Linked DNA regions of Lepisosteus oculatus. The protein of the gene in region 1 binds, or shares a complex with, the protein of each later gene. Links are inferred from orthologs where the notes say so. Each region holds a gene or a part of one and is shown in the gene's direction. Other genes may lie near its edges. The genes, in order: taf3, taf8 and taf11.

The links.
Region 2: taf3 (region 1) and taf8 share a complex: the UniProt entries of both Homo sapiens proteins name them as parts of the TFIID basal transcription factor complex. The link is inferred for Lepisosteus oculatus from reciprocal best matches to the Homo sapiens genes TAF3 and TAF8.
Region 3: taf3 (region 1) and taf11 share a complex: the UniProt entries of both Homo sapiens proteins name them as parts of the TFIID basal transcription factor complex. The link is inferred for Lepisosteus oculatus from reciprocal best matches to the Homo sapiens genes TAF3 and TAF11.

Annotation. Positions count from the first base shown.
Region 1 is NC_090702.1:43,098,745-43,106,386, reverse strand, and holds the start of taf3 (transcription initiation factor TFIID subunit 3), read left to right. Parts: upstream 1-4,534; 5' UTR 4,535-4,709; coding exon 4,710-4,875; intron 4,876-6,219; coding exon 6,220-6,462; intron 6,463-7,642. UniProt on the Homo sapiens protein: The TFIID basal transcription factor complex plays a major role in the initiation of RNA polymerase II (Pol II)-dependent transcription.
Region 2 is NC_090700.1:40,803,835-40,810,786, forward strand, and holds the start of taf8 (transcription initiation factor TFIID subunit 8), read left to right. Parts: upstream 1-3,931; 5' UTR 3,932-4,032; coding exon 4,033-4,080; intron 4,081-6,811; coding exon 6,812-6,952. UniProt on the Homo sapiens protein: The TFIID basal transcription factor complex plays a major role in the initiation of RNA polymerase II (Pol II)-dependent transcription.
Region 3 is NC_090700.1:29,936,034-29,943,452, reverse strand, and holds the start of taf11 (transcription initiation factor TFIID subunit 11), read left to right. Parts: upstream 1-4,398; 5' UTR 4,399-4,420; intron 4,421-5,439; coding exon of another isoform or gene 5,440-5,624; exon of another isoform or gene 5,625-6,049; intron 6,050-7,419. Other genes in the region: ankyrin repeat and SAM domain-containing protein 1A, read right to left, coding at 5,440-5,624. UniProt on the Homo sapiens protein: The TFIID basal transcription factor complex plays a major role in the initiation of RNA polymerase II (Pol II)-dependent transcription.

The DNA of each region.
Region 1 (7,642 bases):
CTTGTCCTGATCCAGGAAAACCACAAACCTTCCAGTTTTTCTTCCACCTGATTGAAGCCTTATTTGCAATAACAAGTAGCTAGATTGGAATATTTACAAGTTTTTTATTTTGTCCATTCAGTAATTTAATTGTCCTTAAGAACTGCAGTTGTTACAAATCAAACATCAACATGTTTAAGAGTTGAAAACAAACAGTAAAGCATTTCAAGTGAATCCTGATTCATGTTCAATTGTGAAACGGGGCTTTGACTGGAACAAAGTCCAGAAGGTGCTTGGACCTCCAGGACCAGGATGGAGGTCCCCTGAGCCAAGGCACTGATATTCACTCCTAGTCCTGGAGAGCCACAATGTCTTTAGATTTTATTCCAGTCTGGACTCATTGACCTGTAAAACCTGGTGAACTAGAGCACATCGGGAACGGGTGTGAATATCTCCGAGCTAAGAAAATGCGAACCTGCATTTTAAACAAAGACATGATCATAAAATCTTATGTTTTTGGAATATGAATATGATCCCTGTTAAATCATCAATGGACAACAATGTACTCTTAACACTCCTGGGTGTTCCTGTCTCGCGTGAAGTGGCAGCTAATTCCAAATACCTAAATTAGGTGTGTCAATGTGATGGCTTCAAATAATGTTTATGTACTGGCAGACACAGGCTTTGAATTGCAACATTTTTGTAGGATTTCCCCGTCTAGTCAGTGAAGAAATCAATGAGTATTACTACTTAGTGAAGTACCATTTCCTGAGGCCAAACTTCAATCAGGATTTAATCCTTTGTTAAAGATGTAGTTTAAAGGTTACTCTTTATTTCAACTGATCCTTTGTTCTGATTTATTTCTGGCATGTTTTCAGAGATTGAAGTGTGGTTTTATCAGAACCAAAACCGAGGTAACGTGCCTTAGACTAGATATTGTGATTTTCATGTTAGTTTGTTCCCTAATTAAATATTTTTGGAAGACATGTATGGTTTTGAATCTCCTTTGTGGCTTGGCATTTTCACCTTTTAGAGATTAAAGATTTATTACATATGCTTTATGCCTAAATCTACTTCAGCTGTTAGTAGTTAGTGCTTTGTTCTGCCTGTGGATCTAGTTCATTTAGACAACCTGGTTTATTTTCATTCCATAGCAATCAACAGATGTAATATACATTGCACTTTTGTTATAACCAGTTTTATATGTTTTTGTTATAGATAAACATGGAAGACCAGCTATTATCAAGTTTCAGTAAGGTTCTGGTGTCCACGCTGAGAATCATCAGTTCTGTCAAGTATTCGTGAAACTATCCTCTGTTTGTAAAATATCTTCGAATAAACATCTTACACAGAATTGTAATTGTTTTTTTTCCTTTGATAATTTGCGTTTTACACAAAAGCAAAAATAAATTGTGTTCTACAAGTTGTGAAAACATTAAAGTATAGATCAATACTGCAATGGAAAATAACCCATTTCTTGTTTTCAAACATTTTGAAAATGAGCCGCGTTTACTAAATTTTAAATAAAGTATAGTAGGAGAGTCTGCAAACCCTTAGTTTGAGTTGGCTGCATCCAGTGTTAGACTGAGAAGCTTTTTCACTGTTCTGCAGCTAGATCTACAATGCACATTTCTGCCTCTTCCCACGCTGTTTAATGCAAAACTAACCTATTTTAATGGTACCTATACCAGAATCTCAAATCTCATAAGTCAAAGTCGTCTGATGTATGAGTGTTTATTAACTTTAAAAAAGAACAGTATTTGTTCAATAATACAAAGAGCAATTTTTTTTTGGGGGGGGGGGGGGGGGCAATTTAGAGATGCCAGCAGGTTGCAGGAATGTAGGGGAGAACTGGAGCATTGCCTGGGGAGGATATGCAAACTCCAAGCAGAAGATGCCCTACAGTAGAATTAGAATTAGAACTCGGGACCCAAGAGCTGTAAAGTATTAGTGATAACTTGTATACTACTGTTATAGTGTATCAGTATACTGTTATACTGAACCTTTTTGTATCCTTGCAGTTATTTGTTAAATCCTAATATTATAAGAATATCAAATTTAAGGTTATTTTTTGTGTTTAAGCCGAGTAGTGAAGTTGAATTGCTAAGGAGAGAGGTTAATCATGAAGGATACAGTATGTGCTACTAGGAATAGAATAAAATGCCACAAATTCCATATGAAACAAACTCAGATTTTAAAAAAGGGGAGCACAAGTGAAAGGGATATTAGGTAGAGAGAGAATAAGGTACAGTATACTACAATTTTGTATTACAACAGTAAAAGAACTGTCCCCCAGAGGTGACAATAGATTAAAAGGGCTAATATTTCCCCCTATTGTTTAGCGAAAACTTTTAAGTACATTCTGCAGACTGAAGAAAAAATGTTCTATATTAAATAGCATAGAAGTGAAAGTTGTTAAAAGTATTTTAAAATATTTAAAGAAATCTCCAGGGCCTGATGGTATCCCACCAATTGTACACAAAACAATAATTCATAGCCCATCAAGAAAAATCAGCAGTCTCTCAAGAAGGTGGTAAATACACAATGATGGATACACCTATCTATTCAAAAGGTGAAAAAACTGAACAAAGTATAGATTAATAAGTCTTACTTTTCTTACTATCAGCGTTATTGGAATTTTAATTAGATAATCATCCATCTGCGTCAATATGTTCAAGGAGAAACAGTTGGTCTTGTTTATCTCGTTAGAACTTCAGCAGTAGCAGTAATGAATACAAGTTGACCAGATGATTTTTACAATACTTGAAGTTCCTCATAATATGAATTCTCCAAAAAAGTACAGGTAAGGGGTAAAAGCTCAAAACGTGATTAGTGGTGTACCACAAGGATCTGTATTGAAACCTCCACTCTTTATAACTTATATTGAAGATCTACATTACGGAATAGTGAACTTTTCATATTGGTGTATACTATCAAAGAATATTGTTATTGCTTGAGTATTTCCAGATGTACTATTTTAAAGTATAAGGTTTCTTCATTGATAAATGAATTAACTATTTTCATCATATTGTTTATGAAAAGAAACGATCACTTTGTGCTTGAAACGGGGACAATACCATCATTACTAAAAAATCAATAGTATTCAACAAAACCCAAAAGCAATTGACAAAAAGTGCTTTAATCTGCTTAATTAATGTAGTAAGTAACATTTCAAATAAAACAACTGTGGAGCCAAAATGCTTCACACTGGTTAATGTATACATTAACAAATGGAATAACTTGAATTTCAAGCTACGAGAGCTTTTGCCATATCTCAGAATTCACTGAAGCCCATTTTACAAATACTTAATGGTATCGGGCAAAAAAATGAATCAAAGGTTTCTAAAAGAACAAAAAGGATACTTAAAAACTTTTGTCGGGGAGTGTCCAATTCTGGTCCTGGATGGATGGTGTGATTGCAAGTTGTCTCAGTGTCTTAGGCAGCAGCACCTGAAAAACAGAACGAAGTCTTTAACTGGACCCAGTAAGAGCAAATTAAAGTAAACAAGAGCTTAGTTGGAAGGAAATAACTGCAGACACATCCTGTAAGTACGGGCTAATCCTTTACTGGACTTGGCACATGGACCGTGTGTATGTTGCTTTTTTCTCGTTTAAAATGCAAGAGCCGAGTTCTAAGTTGCACAATTGGACTGAATGAACTTAATAATACGAGGAATCGTAATATTTTATTTTCAGGTCGTAAAAAATGTTTAGTAATTGTGTTTTAACTATCATATTTTACAAGTGCTATAACGGTGGCACGGGGGGCGCACTGGTTAGCTTTGCTACCTTACAGCCCTGGGGCCATGGGTTCAATACCTGGGCTGCCATCTGCGTGGACCTTTTTGTCTTTCCCGTCTTCACAAGGGTTTCCTACTTATTCAATTCAACTTTATTGTCATTAAACTTACACAGGTGCATAGTAATAAAAAGTGTTTCTCATTAGTCTGCTCCGGTTTTCCTCCTGCAGTCCAAAGGCATTCTGGTGGGTTAATTGGCTTCTGGGAAAACTGGCCCTGGCGTGAGTGTGTGCGTGTCTCTGCACCCTGACTGGCACCCGGCCCCGGGTATATTCCTATATTTGTGCTACTATATGATTATATTTCCTATGGTTGTGCCTGTTGCTTGCACAATCATAGACTCCAGCTTCCGGCTGTTTGTTGTTAAAATAAAAAAGTAAAAATAACAAAATACAGGCCACGTGTATTTTTAAGTACTAGAAGAACAGCAGTTCAACAACGGCGATAAAAGAAACTAGATGACGGTTAATATATGCTACCGATTAAAAACACACGAAACCTTTTTTCGTACTGTTACAATTGGGAACTCGCACAATATTTTATAAGACCATGCGCCATTCAAAATAACACGACTGCGTAGGTTCTGTTGTTTTCATTTTAAAACGAATAACAACTTTGAACTTTGCGTTGTTTTGCTACAAGAGAGCATGCTCTTCATCTCAGACTTACGAGCTGATAGACGCGAAATCGAGTCTAACTTCTCACTGCTCATGTGCGGACCTCATCGATGTTCTCGGCAATGGTCTGTGAGTGGAATCAAGATGGCCGCTTCTGCATTAGCGCCAACCTATGGTTTATTTTAGATGTCAACAATACGTTTATTGTCTGGACTTTGTTTTCATTCCTCTGGGTTTAATGCATCATGAGGACAAGAAACACCTTTCTTACCGGGAATTGAAAAGTTAAAGGTCCCAAAAAGGAACCAGCGGGATGTGTGAGAGCTATGCTCGCTCGCTGCTGCGAGTGTCCGTGGCGCAGATCTGCCAAGCTCTAGGCTGGGATTCGGTCCAGCTCACGGCTTGCGACCTCCTCACTGATGTCCTGCACAGGTATATCCAGCAGCTGGCCAGGGGATGCCATCGCTACTCGGAGCTCTGTGAGTATTTATGTGTGGATTTACAGTGCTATCGCTTTGCAACAACTCCACTCCTTCCTGCTTTCTCTTGATGAGGCCTAGTATGACAGGAGGTGCGTGGTAGCACCAGCACAGAACCAACTTGTTTTACAGTAAGGAATAACCTGGCAAAAATGCCGCAGTCGCAAGTAAAAAGGGAACATTCTTTAAAACTTTTATTAAAATTTAGGCAAAAGCAAAGAAGTCAGCGATTCGGTGTTTTTTCTGGTGCTTTCTGCCAGTACATCATTAGTTTCCTACAGGTGTGTGTCGCTAGCTGATGAGCCTATATATCACATATCATCGGAAAAGGGAGGGAACTATATACACTTAGAAACCGACTGACTGGTCAGCAGCAACATAATTGTAGGATGATGTTTAAAAAACGTTTAGTTAAAACCGGAAAACGGTAAATATACAGTAATAGGGTTCAGTGCGAAATGACACCTGAATATTTTCACATTTAACTTACTCAGATCTTCCATTAACCCGGTGTTCTCCGTCCTTGTTGCATATTGTTCTATCGAAGCAATAATTGAACAATTAGCTGCTGGAAGTGTTGTTTCGTCCTGTCAAAAAATAATGAACTTGGGTTATTATACCTATTGTTTAGAAATTATACTTTATGCTTGCAGGAATCTACAAGACACAAATTTCATCAACCATTTAGTTTTTAATTTCGTTTTTAAGGATACGTCTTACATGTGTATTCCAAACGTAAAACATCCGTTTTTTTCACACATGCTTTTATAAAAGCACAAATTCAGAAATCGAACATTGTCTACTGTCATTTTTATTAACTTTTACCTTTTTAGGTAAAAAGTTTCCCCAGCTTCTAAATGATGAAGCATGGGCTGTGTACATGTGGTTGTTTTGCTGAATTCGATCTCTTGGTTCTGAATGATTTTTCTGTTAAATAGAGGGAAGTGAAGTTGCATGCTTGAGGAAAACCTGATAATCAACAGATTTGCAGTTTGGACATCTGAGTTTTTACAAAAGCTTTTCTGAGATCTTATTTATATAAGGGATACACAGATTTTCCTAGGCGGTATGCTTATTTATTTATTGCACTGGCTCTGCATGAAGTTCATGTTCCTTTACCATAATGACTTTATTACAGTGATAATCAGCAGTTATTGTTCTTGAAACCATCAGCAATTAGGTGATACAAGCCCTTGCGTTACCTTAGAATTCATACTAGTATCCCTAGGTTCCTTAGAACATTTCTTCCAGGCTGGTTAAATTATCAAGGCACTGTCCCAAATGTTTAAGTACATTTAAATGCATGACAGACACATATTTAATAATTATCTGTACTTCTTTCAGATGGCCGCACGGATCCTGTGTTAGATGACGTTGGGCAAGCATTCAAGCTACTGGGAGTGAACCTGAATGAGCTAGAAGATTATGTCCACAATCTGGAGCCGGTGGGCTTTGCACATCAAATCCCCTTGTTTCCTGTCAGCAAAAACAACATCTTGCAGTTCCCCCAGGCTGGCAGCAAGGATGCCGAAGAGAGAAAGGAATACATTCCTGATTATATGCCTCCCATTGTATCGTTACAAGAAGGTGGGAACATTTATATATCCATATATTTTAAATCATTGAAACCAGTAACATTCAGTCCTCCAGAGGCATTAGTTTCATGCTCAGCAGATTGGTTTGTACTGAGATGCACTATTTCCAAAAAGGTCTGCATTTTTAAAAATTGTGACGTTCTCTTAACTAATTTTGAAAGCTTTTCCTAGATGCTTTAAAAAATCCCAGCTTTCAAATGTGATGAATAAATATTATAATTAGTTTAAATAGAAATTAGAATATTTTTATGAAATAATTTTAGATTATGTCAAAATATTGCAGAAAACATATGTAATGTTTGTTGTCTGAAGCATTCAGATGTGCCACCTTTCCTATAAAAGTCATAGAGATTTTGAAAAGACCAAACATTTTCCACCTCCACAACATCTTCAAACTATTCTAGAGTTTCAGCTGTGTTTGTGAAAAAAGTTATTTTGTCATTCGTTCCTGAACTTTCCTTCCTTAAGCTTCCGAAAAAGGTCTGTGTTTCTGCTGTGAGTATTTAGTTGTGGCCAGACAAGTTTAACTACAATAACTTAAAATTCAGCTGGTTTCATGTGTACATTGAGATATTCTCTTTGACGGTGCGTAATGTACAGTAAATCTACTCCCTTTTTATTTTTGTGCATTATACATGGTTCTTAATGAAAATTGTATGAAAAATCCCTACGTGCAATGTAAAATACAATCCCTACAATTCTTCTTTAATCATTTTGTAACATATTCATTTTGATGTTTAAAGATTCAGGGAGTACACCAATCCCACTCACTCTATAAAGCTACAGCGAAGATCAATTATGTAGTGATACCAATTCAATTAAGAGCATTAAAATGTAATTGTCCAGTGTTCTATCATAGATGTCCAAATGGCTTTTCACTATATTATTGTGAGGGCAGATATATGTCTACAATCACATAAAAAGTGTAAGAAATGTTATTTCATATATATATATAAGGGTTCCATTGATGATTATAGATGATAATTGTCCGGTCTTTGTTTACTACATTGTTAGTAATAACAGTACCTACTATGCAACTTAAAATTTTAGTAAAAAGACTTATATCAGTTAGTCCGTGCAGTTAGTTCAAACAGTGAATAATCAGTGAGTTTCTTTTTGTAACGCGTTTACTTACTGAGGGTCGCCTTTCTGCAAGAATCCTCTTCGCACCA
Region 2 (6,952 bases), on another chromosome or scaffold:
GTGTTTCGGGTATTCCCACGACTGCCCAGTCTGGAGTTACGTGTCTTGGCTATTTCAGATGGAAAAACTCCAAGCGCCAATGGGTCAGCTCGTGTGCGCCTGAACACCTCACCCCGTGCCTACCGCCACCGAGCCCGACCACCGCTGACAGCCCGCCGCTGGCATCTAGACACTATATACGCCTGTGACGTCAGCTGTCGCTGCACCAATGAAGGACGCCGCCGCGGCCATCTTTGTGCGGGGCAGAGGTTTGGGCGGTAGATGTGACGCTGCAGGAAGAGCAGTTCAGGTTAAAATAAAAAAATAAAGCTGCTGTCCATTCTCCAACATGTCGTTGTGTATCGTTATACTCAAATAAAATATGATATAAAGAAAACCTCTAGAGTTAAATGATTCCTCTTTATTGTGCAGCGGTAGATGAAATCTGTGACAGACATACTCAGACACGAGGCCAGGATTAATTAAAATTAAATGAGCTGTGTTTAGATCAGAGGTCAGAGGAAAACTAGAATGTGAAACTAATAAATGTTATATAATGTAATGTTTTTATGATACATGTTATTGAACTGAAAATATACATTAACACAAGATGAACTGCATAATACCATTAGGAAATAAAGTTAACAAAGAATGATTAGAGTACTTATGCTGCAAGGGCCTAAACAGTTAAATACATAAAGCATATTGACTTATTAGTAACAAACTTGAAAATGTGTTGTAACATTAAGAATAAAAAATGTCACTTGAAGTTGATCTCTTATATAGAAATCAAATTAATGAAGTTCCCCACTTAGAGATGGCAGAGTACTGCAGGTACTGCTCTTAGTGCCACACACAGAGACACAGCACACACTGACACACAGATACACACGCCACACACTCTCACTTCCAAACACACTGAGCACAGTACAACTCTCTCACTTCCACACACAGACACACACTGAGTCCAGTACTGCTCTCTTACTGTTGCACACACTAAGTCCAGTTCTGCTCTCTTACTGTTGCACACACTGAGTCCAGTTCTGCTCTCTCACTGTTGCACACACACTCCACACCGAGTACAGTACTGCTGTACATCACAGCACCAGAGATCAGAGCTGACTCTCTTGTTTTTAGTTGTTTTTGTCATCTGAAGTTGAGTGTAAAAGCCATTTCCTGCAGGAGTGGGTACAGTAGAGCTGTGAACTGAAGCCCCAGACAACATTTTCTGAGACACCTGGCAAAGACATTTTGTTTTATTTTTATCATTCTGTTTTAATGGATGTGGTCTCAACTGTCAGCCCCACTTCACTCCACTGCACGCCAATGTGTGCACACACACAAGTATACACACAGCACACATACACACGCCACACATACACTCCACACACACTGCGTACAGTACCGCTCTCTCACTGTCAACATACCCGCTGTCTGTGCCACACACACACTCACTGCCACACACACAAGTACGCTCTTGACACACACACACACCAACAGACATCACACACACAGATAGACTCTCACTACTACACACAGTCAACACAATTCTCCTGCTCCACTGACCTGGCACTGGGGATAAAGACACCTGCACCCCCAGGTGAGACGGTGATAGGGCAAGCACAGCAGCAGGAGCTTACAGTACAGCCGTTTGTTTAATGTTTCCTGTTAACACATCAAGCCACAGACACCCTGAGTCAGGCCTGACTCTCTACTGATGATTTTTAAACTGTGCCTGAGTAGAAGCTGCCTTATCTAAACCCATAGTTCACAAGGGGGTACCTTTACATGCTATTAGTTTACCATAGTACTGTCCGATGGTACCAGTAAACTCAGGACATGACATAACTTTGTGTGGCCACAGGGGAGAGAGGAAATGAGACAGGTAGATGAGATGCCTTCCTTGTGGGGAGAAACCCTAGTGGGACAAGTTATTTTAACGTTGTGAGTATCTTAGTGAGGAAACTGCAGCACCAGGACAAATCAGGAGTGAAAGAGATGGTCATGCAAAAGCAAATGTACATCTGAAGCCCTGTAGCTCTGAAATTCTCTCTATTCTTCCAACCAATCTGCTGAGTCAGGGTGGAGTGGCGATGCCCAGGCTGCTGAGTCAGGGTGCAGGGGGGATTCCCAGGCTGCTGAGTTGGGGAGCAGTGGGGATGCCCCCTGCGGCTCCATGCAAATTCACCCTGACCACACAGCCTGTCTTTTCCTTCTTTCAGTTTCTTTACTGCAATATCGGTGAAGAAGCGAATAGAAATACTGCTCTCCAAAACTTTTTTAAGAGTGAAGCTTTATACTCATTACTTGTGCATCTCTTTGCATCTTGGGCTTTATCACTCCAGCAGAAGGGAGTTGAGATGCCCTCCAGCACACTCCAGCACGCGCACACCCAAGCGGGATGGTGTGAGATAGCATGGACTCACTCCAGCCCAAGTGTGAGACAGCAAACACACAATCCAGCACCACAGAGTGAGACAGCTCGCACACACTCCAGCGTGAGGGTGGGAGACAGCACGCCCACACTCCAGCGTGAGGGTGGGAGACAGCATCCTCTTGCTCTTCCACGGCTCCATCAGTGAAAATGAAGAACGTTTTTTACAGAGCAGCTCTATATGTTAGTGTTTATTTCTTATATTTGCTATTTGATTACCTTTGACAAGGTAAAAATTCAGTAGCAGAAAACTTGTTATGCAGCTCCTTCACATCAGTCGCCTAACGAATGATGGAACATGCTGTAGCAGAACTGGGCCCTACAGCACTTACCAAAGCGAGCAGCTTGCTGTACAGCTTCTCTCTGTGCTGTAAACCCGTCTGTGTGCATGGAGAGGCATTGCTGAGTCAGAGAGCGACAGAGCAGCTCCGTATGGCGGCCTGTGACACTGACAGACATACTGCGCCACTGCGCTTCCTGGCACCAGCCTGACCCCAGCTGAGCACCTGAGTGCGAAACCACACTGAGCACGCTCACTCTCGCACCCATGCCGCTGGCAGACCGCCCCGGCTTCCTCTCTGAGCGTGTCGGCAGCAACCGCATCGCAGACCTTTTTATATTCATCTTCTCAGCTTTGCAATTGAAATGTGTTCTCAGTGTCAAGGCAGATGTGTTGATATGCGTTATCATTTATTTTGTCATGTTATGAGCTGCATGGTCTTTTCTGTGTTTATATGGCCTCTACATATTTTCCATCTTCTGGCATCTATTAACTTTGAAACCTGAAGTCATAACTGATGTCTCCAGAAGCTCAGGTTTGATTCCAGCCACAGCCACCTATAAGTGTGGAGTTTGCATCATCCTTGTTAATGAACAAGTAATAGGTTTATTCCATGCTGAAAAAAAGAAGAAAGAGAACACAACGTTTCGGCCGTGGAGCCTTCTTCAGGTGTGAGAGAGACAGGGCAGTAGGCAAAGGTAAAGTAGCGGGAGAACAAAGGTTGGGAGGGAGGAGGAGTGAGAGGCGGGAGCAGGGGACAGAAAGAGAGGCCAATCAAGAGGTGTGAAGTCAGAATGGGTGCAGAGAGGTGTGAAATGAAACTTCCAATGAATGGAGAAAATTTAAAAGAACAGTAATCTGTCGTTAAGGGAAGTCCTTGTTAATGCTGCACAGTGGTGGTGGTGGAGGGGAGTCCCCATTACCTGTAAAGCACTTTGAATGGAGTGTCCAGAATTTATTTATTCAGAAGTTATTTATTTATTATTATTATTATTATTATTATTATTATTATTATTATTATTATTATTATTATTATTATCATCATCTCCCTGTGTGCTCTTTACACCTCTTGCACGAGTGTGATCTTAAGGACATGCACGTCACGTGTCATTGGAAATGCTGAATTGAGCCACTGGAGTGTCTGTCCCATACAGGAAACAAGCAGGTCTCCACGTCAATAACACTTTTATTCTTACGGGATACGAGACCGACAGGTACTTCCACCTACGTGTTTTATTTAGATTCGCAAGGATAAGGGCTGCTTTCACAAGGGAATAAACTTCTCCCAGCCTCCCTTTCGACAGCCGTGCATGCGCACTGTGGCCAGTCTGCCCTGAAGATGGCGGATCCTAATGTTGTGGGCAGTGGATCGTTGGGCTCCGTGACGGTAAGTATAATAAATTATGCGAGTAGGACTTCATTTAAAAAGAAAAATCGTGAGAAATGCTTGTTATATGTGAGCCTGGACCGTTTACACTACAGCGTGGAATCGCTTTGCTCTGGACGGGGAGCTTAGCTCAGCGCTCGCGCGCTGGGTCGCCGTTGTTAGCATTTCTGTATGTCCCACCTACTAGCTGCGATGATTGGCGGAGGCATGGAAAGCTTCTCACTCATTGGCTGCTTTTTGTAAGATTTGTTTCTAACGCTGCTAGAAATGTAAAAAAAAAAGTTTGTGAAAATGAAACATAGAACCGTACTTTTTTTGTGTGAATACAAGTAAAATTTGTATGCAGTAATGCAACAGTACTTTTGCTAGCCTGAACATGTAATTGTATGAGATATCCCAGGGTTAAAGCGGAAATATGATTTCAAATGAGAATCTATATGATTGTCCACATACAGTGGAAAATTTCCGTTGGCCTCAGTGAAACAACAATAATCACAACACTGTATTAACAGAGTACATTCCGTGGATTTTACAGATGTGCACAGTGTTATAATACATGACAAAAACATAAGATTCAAGCTGCAGGCATGTACTGTATCGCCAGCAGCCATATCACCCTGCAACTCACAACTGGCAACCCACTGAAGCTAAGCAGGTGTGAGCCTGGTCAGTACCTGGATGGGAGACCTCCTGGGAAAAACTAAGTTTGCTGCTGGAAGAGGTGTTAGTGGGGCCAGCAGGGGGCGCTCACCCTGTGGTCCATGTGGGTCCTAATGCCCCAGTATAGTGATGGGGACACTATACTGTAAACAGGCGCCGTCCTTCGGATGAGACGTAAAACCGAGGTCCTGACTCTCTGTGGTCATTAAAAATCCCAGGGTGCTTCTCGAAAAGAGTAGGGGTGTAACCCCGGTGTCCTGGCCAAATTTCCAATTGGCCCTTACCAATCATGGCCTCCTAATAATCCCCTTCTATGAATTGGCTACATTACTCTGCTGTCCTCCCCACTGATAGCTGATGTGTGGTGAGCGTTCTGGCGCACTATGGCTGCCGTCGCATCATCCAGGTGGATGCTGCACATTGGTGGTGGTGGAGGGGAGTCCCCATTACCTGTAAAGCGCTTTGAGTGGAGTGTCCAGAAAAGCGCTATATAAGTGTAAGCAATTATTATTATTATTATTATTACATGCTGTCAATGCAATGCTGTGGGATTAATGAGATTTAAAAGAGTAAGAGCACTCAGAATGAATGACTTAAATGTGTCTTGATACTCTAGAATGTCTTCCAAATGCTAATTTTTCAAATTGTAAATGTAGTGGATCTGAGGTATCATTTACTATTAACATTGCTTTCCTGTAAACACTTCTGGTATACATGTGGTTCAGCGTGGTCTGTTTCTGACCATTGATTTTGCTGCCCATGTTTATAATCCTGTTTATTAACAAGTGGAGATGATACGAGAGAGCACACTCTACCAGCTCTAGAGCGAGTCTGTTTACAGAAGAGCTCCTGAACCTTCTCATGAGAAGTCAGGGCCTTTTTAAAAACATACGCCGTGCTGTCTGAGAGGTTTAGTTTACCAACAATGTATGTACCCAGATATTTAAAATAAGGGTCTGTCTCCACATGCCGGCCATTTAAGTGTGGATGGCAGGATTCTTCCGGAGTGTAGCATTTTGCAATTAAGAATTGCAAGTTAATAATAATAATAATAATAATAATAATTAATAATTGCTTACACTTATATAGCGCTTTTTCTGGACACTCCACTCAAAGTGCTTTACAGGTAACGGGGACTCCCCTCCACCACCACCAATGTGCAGCATCCACCTGGATGATGCGACAGCAGCCATAGTGCGCCAGAACGCTCACCACACATCAGCTATCAGTGGGGAGGAGAGCAGAGTAATGTAGCCAATTCATAGATGGGGATTATTAGGAGGTCATGACTGGTAAGGGCCAATGGGAAGTTTAGCCAGGACACCGGGGTTACACCCCTACTCTTTTCGAGAAGCGCCCTGGGATTTTAAATGACCACAGAGAGTCAAGACCTCGGTTTTACGTCTCATCCGAAGGACGGCTCCTGTTTACAGTATAGCGTCCCCGTCACTATACTGCGGCATTAGGACCCACATGGACTGCAGGGTGAGCGCCCCCTGCTGGCCCCACTAACAAGTTGTTTTATTGAAATTGAAATGGAAAAAAACAGCTACATTAGAAGAAGATATTCTCATTTCAGATGTCACTCAATTATTTTCATTGACAGAAAAACTAACTTTAAAAAGAAGAATATAAATTGGGTATAATTTTACTGAGATTATTGTTTCTGTTTGTGGATGTGGGAGATTTTTGTGTATTTACAGAGCATGTGAGTTTCTCTCAGAGTTGAATAAAATGGTCTCGTGAGTTGGACCAGGGCCAGCCTGTACATCAGAGGAGTGTGAGTTTGGCCAAAATAAAAACGGTTCCCAAGATTAGCACAGCCAGGGAGCAATAGGTGTGATTTCTTCTTCACCAGTGAGTCGCAGGTGAGCATGAGTGAAGCCAGCTGTGTGGAGGTGCACCTGGTAATCAGCCAGTGCCCTGGAGCAGCTGGGAGACTGGGAGCATGGTTATTGTACACTCCTGCTCCAAGTGGGGCGTTCGGCCTCAGACAGGGTGACAGAAGTAAAGCGTGCAGGATCAGTGTCCTCAGTCCAGTTTGTGAATGATCCCCCATCTGTCTCCCCAGCGCTCCTCCGGGGGCAAGACCTCCACCAGCCCCGCGGAGAACTACTACCTCGCTCGGCGGCGCACCCTGCAGGTGGTGGTCAGCTCGCTGCTGACAGAGTCCGGGTTCGAAGCCGCAGAGAAGGCTGCTGTGGAGTCTTTG
Region 3 (7,419 bases), on another chromosome or scaffold:
AGCACAGACAGCAGAGACAGGCATATCGAAAGAAGCCAGCAGGGTATCCGAAGGAAATAAGGAAATAACGTCCTTCGGATGAGATGTAAAACCAAGGTCCTGACTCTCTGTGGTCATTAAAAATCCCAGGGTGTTTCTCGAAAAGAGTAGGGGTGGAACCCCGGCGTCCTGGCCAAATTTCCCATTGGCCCTTACCAATCATGGCCTCCTAATAATCCCCCTCTATGAACTGGCTTCATCACTCTGTTCTCCTCCCCACTGATAGCTGGTGTGTGGTGAGACTACTGGTCACTATGGCTGCCGTCGCATCATCCAGGTGGATGCTGCACACTGGTGGTGGCGGAGGGGAGACCCCATTACCTGTAAAGTGCTTTGAGTGGAGTGTCCAAAAATTATGATGTAAGCAATTATTATTAATTATAATTATTATAAATATACTGCAAACTTGTGGATTTTTTCTGGTTTTCAAAACGCCAGGGTAGGCCCCCCTGACGGGGGGGGGGGGGGGGCTTTTCTTTGTGACCTCAGGCTCACTGAGAGATAAGACGCCTGTTTATTCGGTTTCGTTAATGATTGAATTCACTTCACCCAGTGTGAAAAACCTTCAACGCTGAACACAACCCACGCACCGCCGACCTCCAATGCCAGGCTAAAGACTCACACTGCCAAAAGCAATCTCGGGGCTTTAACTAAGACTCTAGTTTCTTTTTTACTTCAGAGTTCGTATGTGCTCCCACTGTTGGGGTGGGTTTCCTCTGGGTAATCCTGTTTGCTCCCACAGTCCGCAGACCAGACTGATAGATTAACTTAACCGGCCTCTGGGAAAGTCGGCCCTGGTGTGAGTACGTGTGATCGCTGCCCTGTGACGGACTGGCATCCCATCCAGGATGCACCTGGATTGTGCCCACTGCTTGATGGGATAGGCACCGGCTTCCCCCACACTGGAAGAAGCGGTGGGCAAAGTGGACGGATGGACAGTCCAGCCAGAAAGGGAAGCACGGCCACGTCAGGCCGGATCGAGATGGAATTCCAGTCCCACGTGCGCGCGCGCATTCTCCGAGCGCTCTTCCCCGCAAAAGCACGTTCGCAAGCTGGCTTGTTGTCAAAGCGCGCACGAGAAGCCGGGCGAGGAACAGGCACATTCCAGAGCAAGGCAGACTGCTGCGCTGAGGTGTCTCAACGCGGCATGCCTGAGCACGCTAGGGAAGGCTCTCTCTCCAACCCTCCTCCCCCCACCCCCAGCCAGTGAGGAGACGGAGCGAGCTCGGCACTGTTCGGCCCCATTGCCCGCTTCTCCCGAGGCCCGGCGGCTCCGTTAATCCCCGTCCTGACTGAAACCGCAGTCCCGACGCGCGCGCCGCGGAGTAAGCAAAAAAGCAGAAGGCCCTTCTTCACAGAACGCCTTTCCAGCGCTTGACTCCGTGATCCTGCCCGAAGAAAAACGGCCAAGGTGGGCTGCCTGCTGTAAAGTCGGGCACCGGGGCCCTAGAGAATCAGCAGAGGCCTGGCACTTGGGCACAGCGGGCTGGGCACTCGGAAGTGCCAGGCGGTTGTGGAAACGCAGGCTCAGAACACACACACGCCGCACAACCACAGAATCTGAAGCCAATCTGCTCAGGAGCAACGACGTTATTCTGTACCGGGGCTAAAAGAAGAGCCATGGATTGGACTGTGGGCAACACGGTGGAGCAGTGGTCAGCATTGCTGCCTCGCAGAGCTCTGGGTTCAATTCCAGACTCGGGGTGCTGTCTGTGTGGAGTTTGCGTGTTCTCCCGTGTTCATGTGGGTTTCCTCTAGGTGCTCCAGCTTCCTCCCACAATCCAAAGACATACTGGTAGTTAACTGGCTCCTGAGAAAACTGGCCCTGGTGTGTCTGCCCTGTGATGGACTGGCATCCTGCCCAGGGTATACCCCACCTTGCACCCATTGTTTGCCACGATAGGCTCCAGTTCCCCCAAGACCTTGAATTAATTGGATGAAGTGGTTAGGAAATGGACAGATAAGGTGGCACAAAACACACACATCACTTCGCAGTTTTGATTTCTCTAAGCCCATGTTTTTCTGATGCTATGCACTTTCACAGCCAAAGCTTGGTAAAGTTCAGCAAAGACTTACCAGCCACACAGTCACCACAGTACTGGCACCTGGGAGCTAGTCCCAGCTGATCCAGTGCCATGAACACTGGCCATATAAAACTCCAGTGAATTTAGCAACATTTCTGTCTGCAGAGTGGTTCAGTTCTCATAGTATCGTCATATACCACCTGGTCCAAATATCAGCCCTGCACACTAGTCTGCCTGACACACAATGGTAAGCATTAAAAAAAGGAACACGCCACGCAGACCTACAGTATTATGAGCTGACCTGAACTACTGAATCCTGCATATGGAAACTTGAACAGACAAGCAGATGTTCCTGCACAAAATCCATTCGCATATTTACAGGTGAGAGGAGGCTAGTCACTCGATCGAGCTCGTTCGGTGGTTGCAAATTGATCCAAGATCTCACCCGGTCCTTTCTTTAAAGAAGCCAGGATGTCGGCTTCAACAATATGGCTGGGCAGCCTACTCCAGACACCCGCCACCCTTTGTGTAAAGAAGAGCCTCCTATTCTCATCTTTAATATTTTAGGTCCTTCGCTTCGGCGCTGTACCGGTAAATGCACATCGGTCTGACAGCTACATGCTTCACTTCAGCAGGGGACTGCATTATTAAAGGCAAACAGTGTTGCTCTGGTTTTTAAAATAACGGCTTTTTTCGCCAGCCGTTGATCTCAGAACCTTCGTCTTCTTTGCCTCTGAATTTTTGGCAGGACTACCCTTCATCACAAACACTACTACGGTTCGTGTATTTTCTGAATTTAGAAAGCCTGACCAAAACCACACTACGGGATCAGGATTTGGGAACGAATAAAAACTGGATGAAAAACACAGCTGGGGTTAACTTGACATGCCCGAAGATTTGAATCATTAAACTGGCCGATTAATCAATATTGACGGGGTACCACAGAACACGATTATTTCCGAAGGCCTGATGTGCGGTTTTTTTTCTTTCAAGTCAAACGAGAGGAGAGAAAAGATCGCACTTAAAGCAATGATGCCCAGTGCTCTGAAGGGAAATCGCGTAGACATGCGGAGCTCTGAGGGTGGGCACGCAAGGGGTGTCTTCCTCATCCGAGTTAGTTACTTTAAAACACATGCTAAGGTCATCATTATCTTCGCTCATGGACGCCTGCCAGCCATTGATCGAGCCGAGCAGAGCTCTCCAGAGCCTACAAAGTGCACTTCAGCTTTCACTTGTCGGGGGCCGGGCTATGCCGGGGGCCACTCGAAGCGCATGACACCGCCGAATTGGATTTCCGATTAAGAGGGTTTTAATGTAATTACATCAAGTACCGCGCAGCATGTCAGGACTAATTTTACGACGCATCAAGTCGATGTTTACGGAGTGTGAGTTATCTCCGCCCTCCGCCCATAGATGCGCTATAACAGGAGTCATAATTTCTTTTACCGCGTTCCCCTTTTTATCAGATAATTCATTCGGTCATCTTTTCGGGGGAGGTAACCGATGAAACGAGAGGAGGTAGCACCTTCATACAGTAACAGCTTTACCATCTTTAGTGTTTTTAAATCTTCTTTCAGGGACACTACTTCCAAACCGTTTAAAAAAACGGTTACCAGAACAGTAAAAGGAAAAGGGGTCTTAATGACTTAATGACTCTTTCGACATGAAAATCTTAAACGAACCTTAAATTGTAAGCGTTAATTTGTCTGAAAGGATTTCGTAATCGAAGCCTGTATCTATATATAGACATCGTCAAGACTCGCCATTGTAAAGATGCTTTGTGCAATATAGCGTTAGGCAACTGTACGGTTTTAAGAGGCACATGCGTTCGGCTATTTCCGTCAGTGTCCAGATTAAATTATTACAGATTAGGAGGAAACACAGTTACTGAAGAACAGACGCTTAAAGAACCACTTAACAGACACGAAAACGGCTCTCTTTCCTTATCAGAAATGAATTTCGCTGCACCCTCGTTCAGCTTCTCCGATTTAAGTTTCTGATGAAATTAAACTGCAGTTTTCTACCTCCTTTCAATGTTTAATTACATTTTCTGCAATTAAAAGAGGTGACGCGTTAGCTGCTTGGAGTTAGGTTTCGAAGTCAGGTCGGTGACACACGCCTGCAGGGTGGCTCAGCTCCGCGCTTGCTAAGGCTGTGAGAGACTACGGGCGTCTTTTTTAAATGCACACTGTTCGTATTTACAGTACACATCTCGCCGAGAGCGCTCAGGAGAAGGAGGAGGAGTGCAATTCACACATGCTGGACTACTAGGAGTATGAATGACCGCAGCACGGACAGCTCCTTGCACGCCGGACGCAGTGCCCCTCTCCACACCCTCGCCCCTCCTGCGCGCCCAGGTACCGCGGGGGAGTCCAGTCCACCCGGCCCGCGCACCGGTGAAAACCCACAGAACAGAAAACGTTTCAGTCCCAGATTTCACGCGTGGAAAAACGAGCGGCATCGTAGACGTTTTCGCGTTGTTTACTGATATTGTTTTAAAAAAGATGCAAACTCGAAAGTGTGCACAAACAACACGAAACCACAAAACAAACGACCGGGGAAGCATATACAAAACAGCAAAACAGCGCAACGAAGGCAAAAATAATCATGACCTATTTCTTGGTCGGTGTCTGATATGTTAAAGGGATTATAACGTCTCTTCGTGTTGTGACGCTCTTCTGTTGTCTCTTGTATTTTTCATCAGCTTCATGGGGAAATAATTGTCAGGTGTTCTTAATATCGCACGTCAAAATTAATCGAAGTGGGTGCCTTGCGATCAACTACACAAAAGAAAAAAATGACAGTAGCGATATCTTGCGACATCTGCATAAACCCAACCAAATTTGTCACACGTTTTTCCCACGAACTGATTTCGAGCATATCAAGCGCCAAACAAAAGACGGATTCCCTTGCAGTGTGCACCAGCCCGTAATGTGTTATTAAACATGGCGAGGTAAGGAAAGGGAGGTCGACTTCTTGAAATGTGGAAGCAAATATTCAAAGAATGTTTGCCCGGCGCAACCCGATAGCAAAGGTGTGCTGAGGTCCGCGTCAGAGACAGGAGAGTTGAGGGGAAAAAAATATTTGCAAAGACGTGGGCTGAACTGGGTCTATCAGATCGTTTGTTATCGGCTCAAAACTGTATTTGTCCAAGAAAAAAACGATTAAATCTTGGGGGGTGTGCTTTGGACACCCAGGGTTACGCTTAGGCATTCTGAAGACTCACTCTTTCACCCACTCAATAATAATCTTCAAACCGCGTTTTGCACAAACCCCCCCTCCTCCTTCTCTTGCTTTCCTCCTCCACCCGGGCCGGACCCCTTCTCCCTTTCCTTGTACCTGCACCGGCAGGTCCGGTCTTCCCCCCACCTCTCACCTGAGCAAACTCGAAAGCGGGTGAGATGAGGAACTGTGACCGCCGCCTCCTCCGCCGCCGCTCCCTCCGCCTCCCGAGGACCCTCCACCGATCCCCGCCGACTGCCGCTTGCCGGATAGCAGCTTCTCGACGGCGGCCAGATTCCCAGTGCGGGCAGCCTCCAGGAGCTCCTGCTCCTTCCCCATCTCGGCTCGAGAATGGAGCCAAAGAGGGAGGCACACGCAAGGCAGCGGCTCAGGCGATTCCCTTTCAGCCTGGTGTCCCAGAGGCCAAGACGCGTATCCAGGCTCCAACAGCAATGCTCCCACTGACAATAATCCTCCACAGTTGATCGATGTTTTTCCTCGCGGCAACTCGCGCCCCGGATCCCTGCTCCACTCCGCCGCTCCAGGGAAAGTTTCTTTCAGCACCACCACCGGCCAAACTTCCTCCGACTGCCCCCCCGACACGTCACTTCCTTAGGACAGCCTCCTCCTCATGATGTCATTTGGTTACTTTCCAACGTCATTTCACAACAGCCCCATTACCCCATACCTGGTACAACCGGTAGTGAAATCCTATCACCCACTACCTCCCCCACAAGTCTGGATTTAAGTCACTTTAATAATGCGCTGAGAATGCCAAGAATTGCAAGACAATCGCATTTCGTTTTAATGCAGCTCAGCACAAAGAAATAAATATTCGTATCAGTTTCTTTGTGTCGGAAACAAATCAGATGTAACACGTTAAATGTATCAGAATGTATTTAGATGTGTCTACAAATTAAAGGAACTACCAAACACGAGAAAACAATATTACCACATACACTTCATTAACTATAACGGATATCCGCTATTAACAAGTGTAAGTCAGATAGGGCTGTTCAGCCTGCAAATACTGAAATAAATTGATATGTGGGGGACTTTTATTTGGGTGGGCAAAATTGCGGAGCATAGCACGCGTGGGCTAGAGCCCTTAAGTGTAGTCTAAGAGGCTGTGGTTTTTGCTTATGTAGACGTTATCTCTGAAGCCAGTAATGGAGCTGAATCCTAAACAGGTTGAGCTTCTATTTGTGAGAAATACATTTTAATCGACACGGTTTGTTCCAGGTATAGCTCGTGAAATGGATTTTGTCGGGTAGGGTGACTTTAAACTCTCCTGCCCCACCCAAGCTCAGTCCTGGTACCGACCTGCCTGGATGTCGGATATTCTTCTGTGCTGGGGTGTCTTCTCTGTGGAGTCAGCAGGTTACTCCTGTGGGCTGTTGCGTGGTGTGCCTGCCAAGTTAGACTTAGGGTAGGAGAGCAAAAAAATAATCAATTGCTTATTTACAGGAGGCAACTTTATTTCCTAGTTTTATATTTAACCGTTTGTTATGTTCTCCTAAAATGTATTATCCAGATAATGGAATTTGAAGGCTTTGCCCTCCTCCGCACTAAAATTCCGTTCCCATGGTTAATTCCTGTAGTGCAGTTCCATAGTCATATGTAGAAAAGCAATATTTGAATACAGTCTGCTGAGTTTCAGACAGCAGCTTCCTTACTAATGCAGTTATGGCACTGATCAGGTCACTTCACTTCAAATGCGGTTGTTCATTAAAAGATTCTTCATCTTTTTCTGTACGCCCAGCAAACCCAACACCCCTGGCAGACCAGCTGTTTCTTGCGTTTTCTTCTCTTCCCGGGTCGGGATCTCAATATGTTCTGCTCTTTGTTCAACGCCATGACATTTACGGGACCGTTTAACTAAATGTGTTTCAAATTGGCCACATGCTCTCAGCAGAGTTCTATTTGCTACAATTACAATATATTTGTATTTTTTTATAATCACGTGTCACTCGTATTAGACCTAAACTGTTCATATGAAACATTTTCAGATTAAAAAAAACACGTTTAGGCTATTGCTGATAGATTATATCACTTTCAACACATAAAAAGCGAAATCCACACTAAATGTTATGGCTACGGTTGGTTTATGTATCCTCAGATATCTGATATTAGG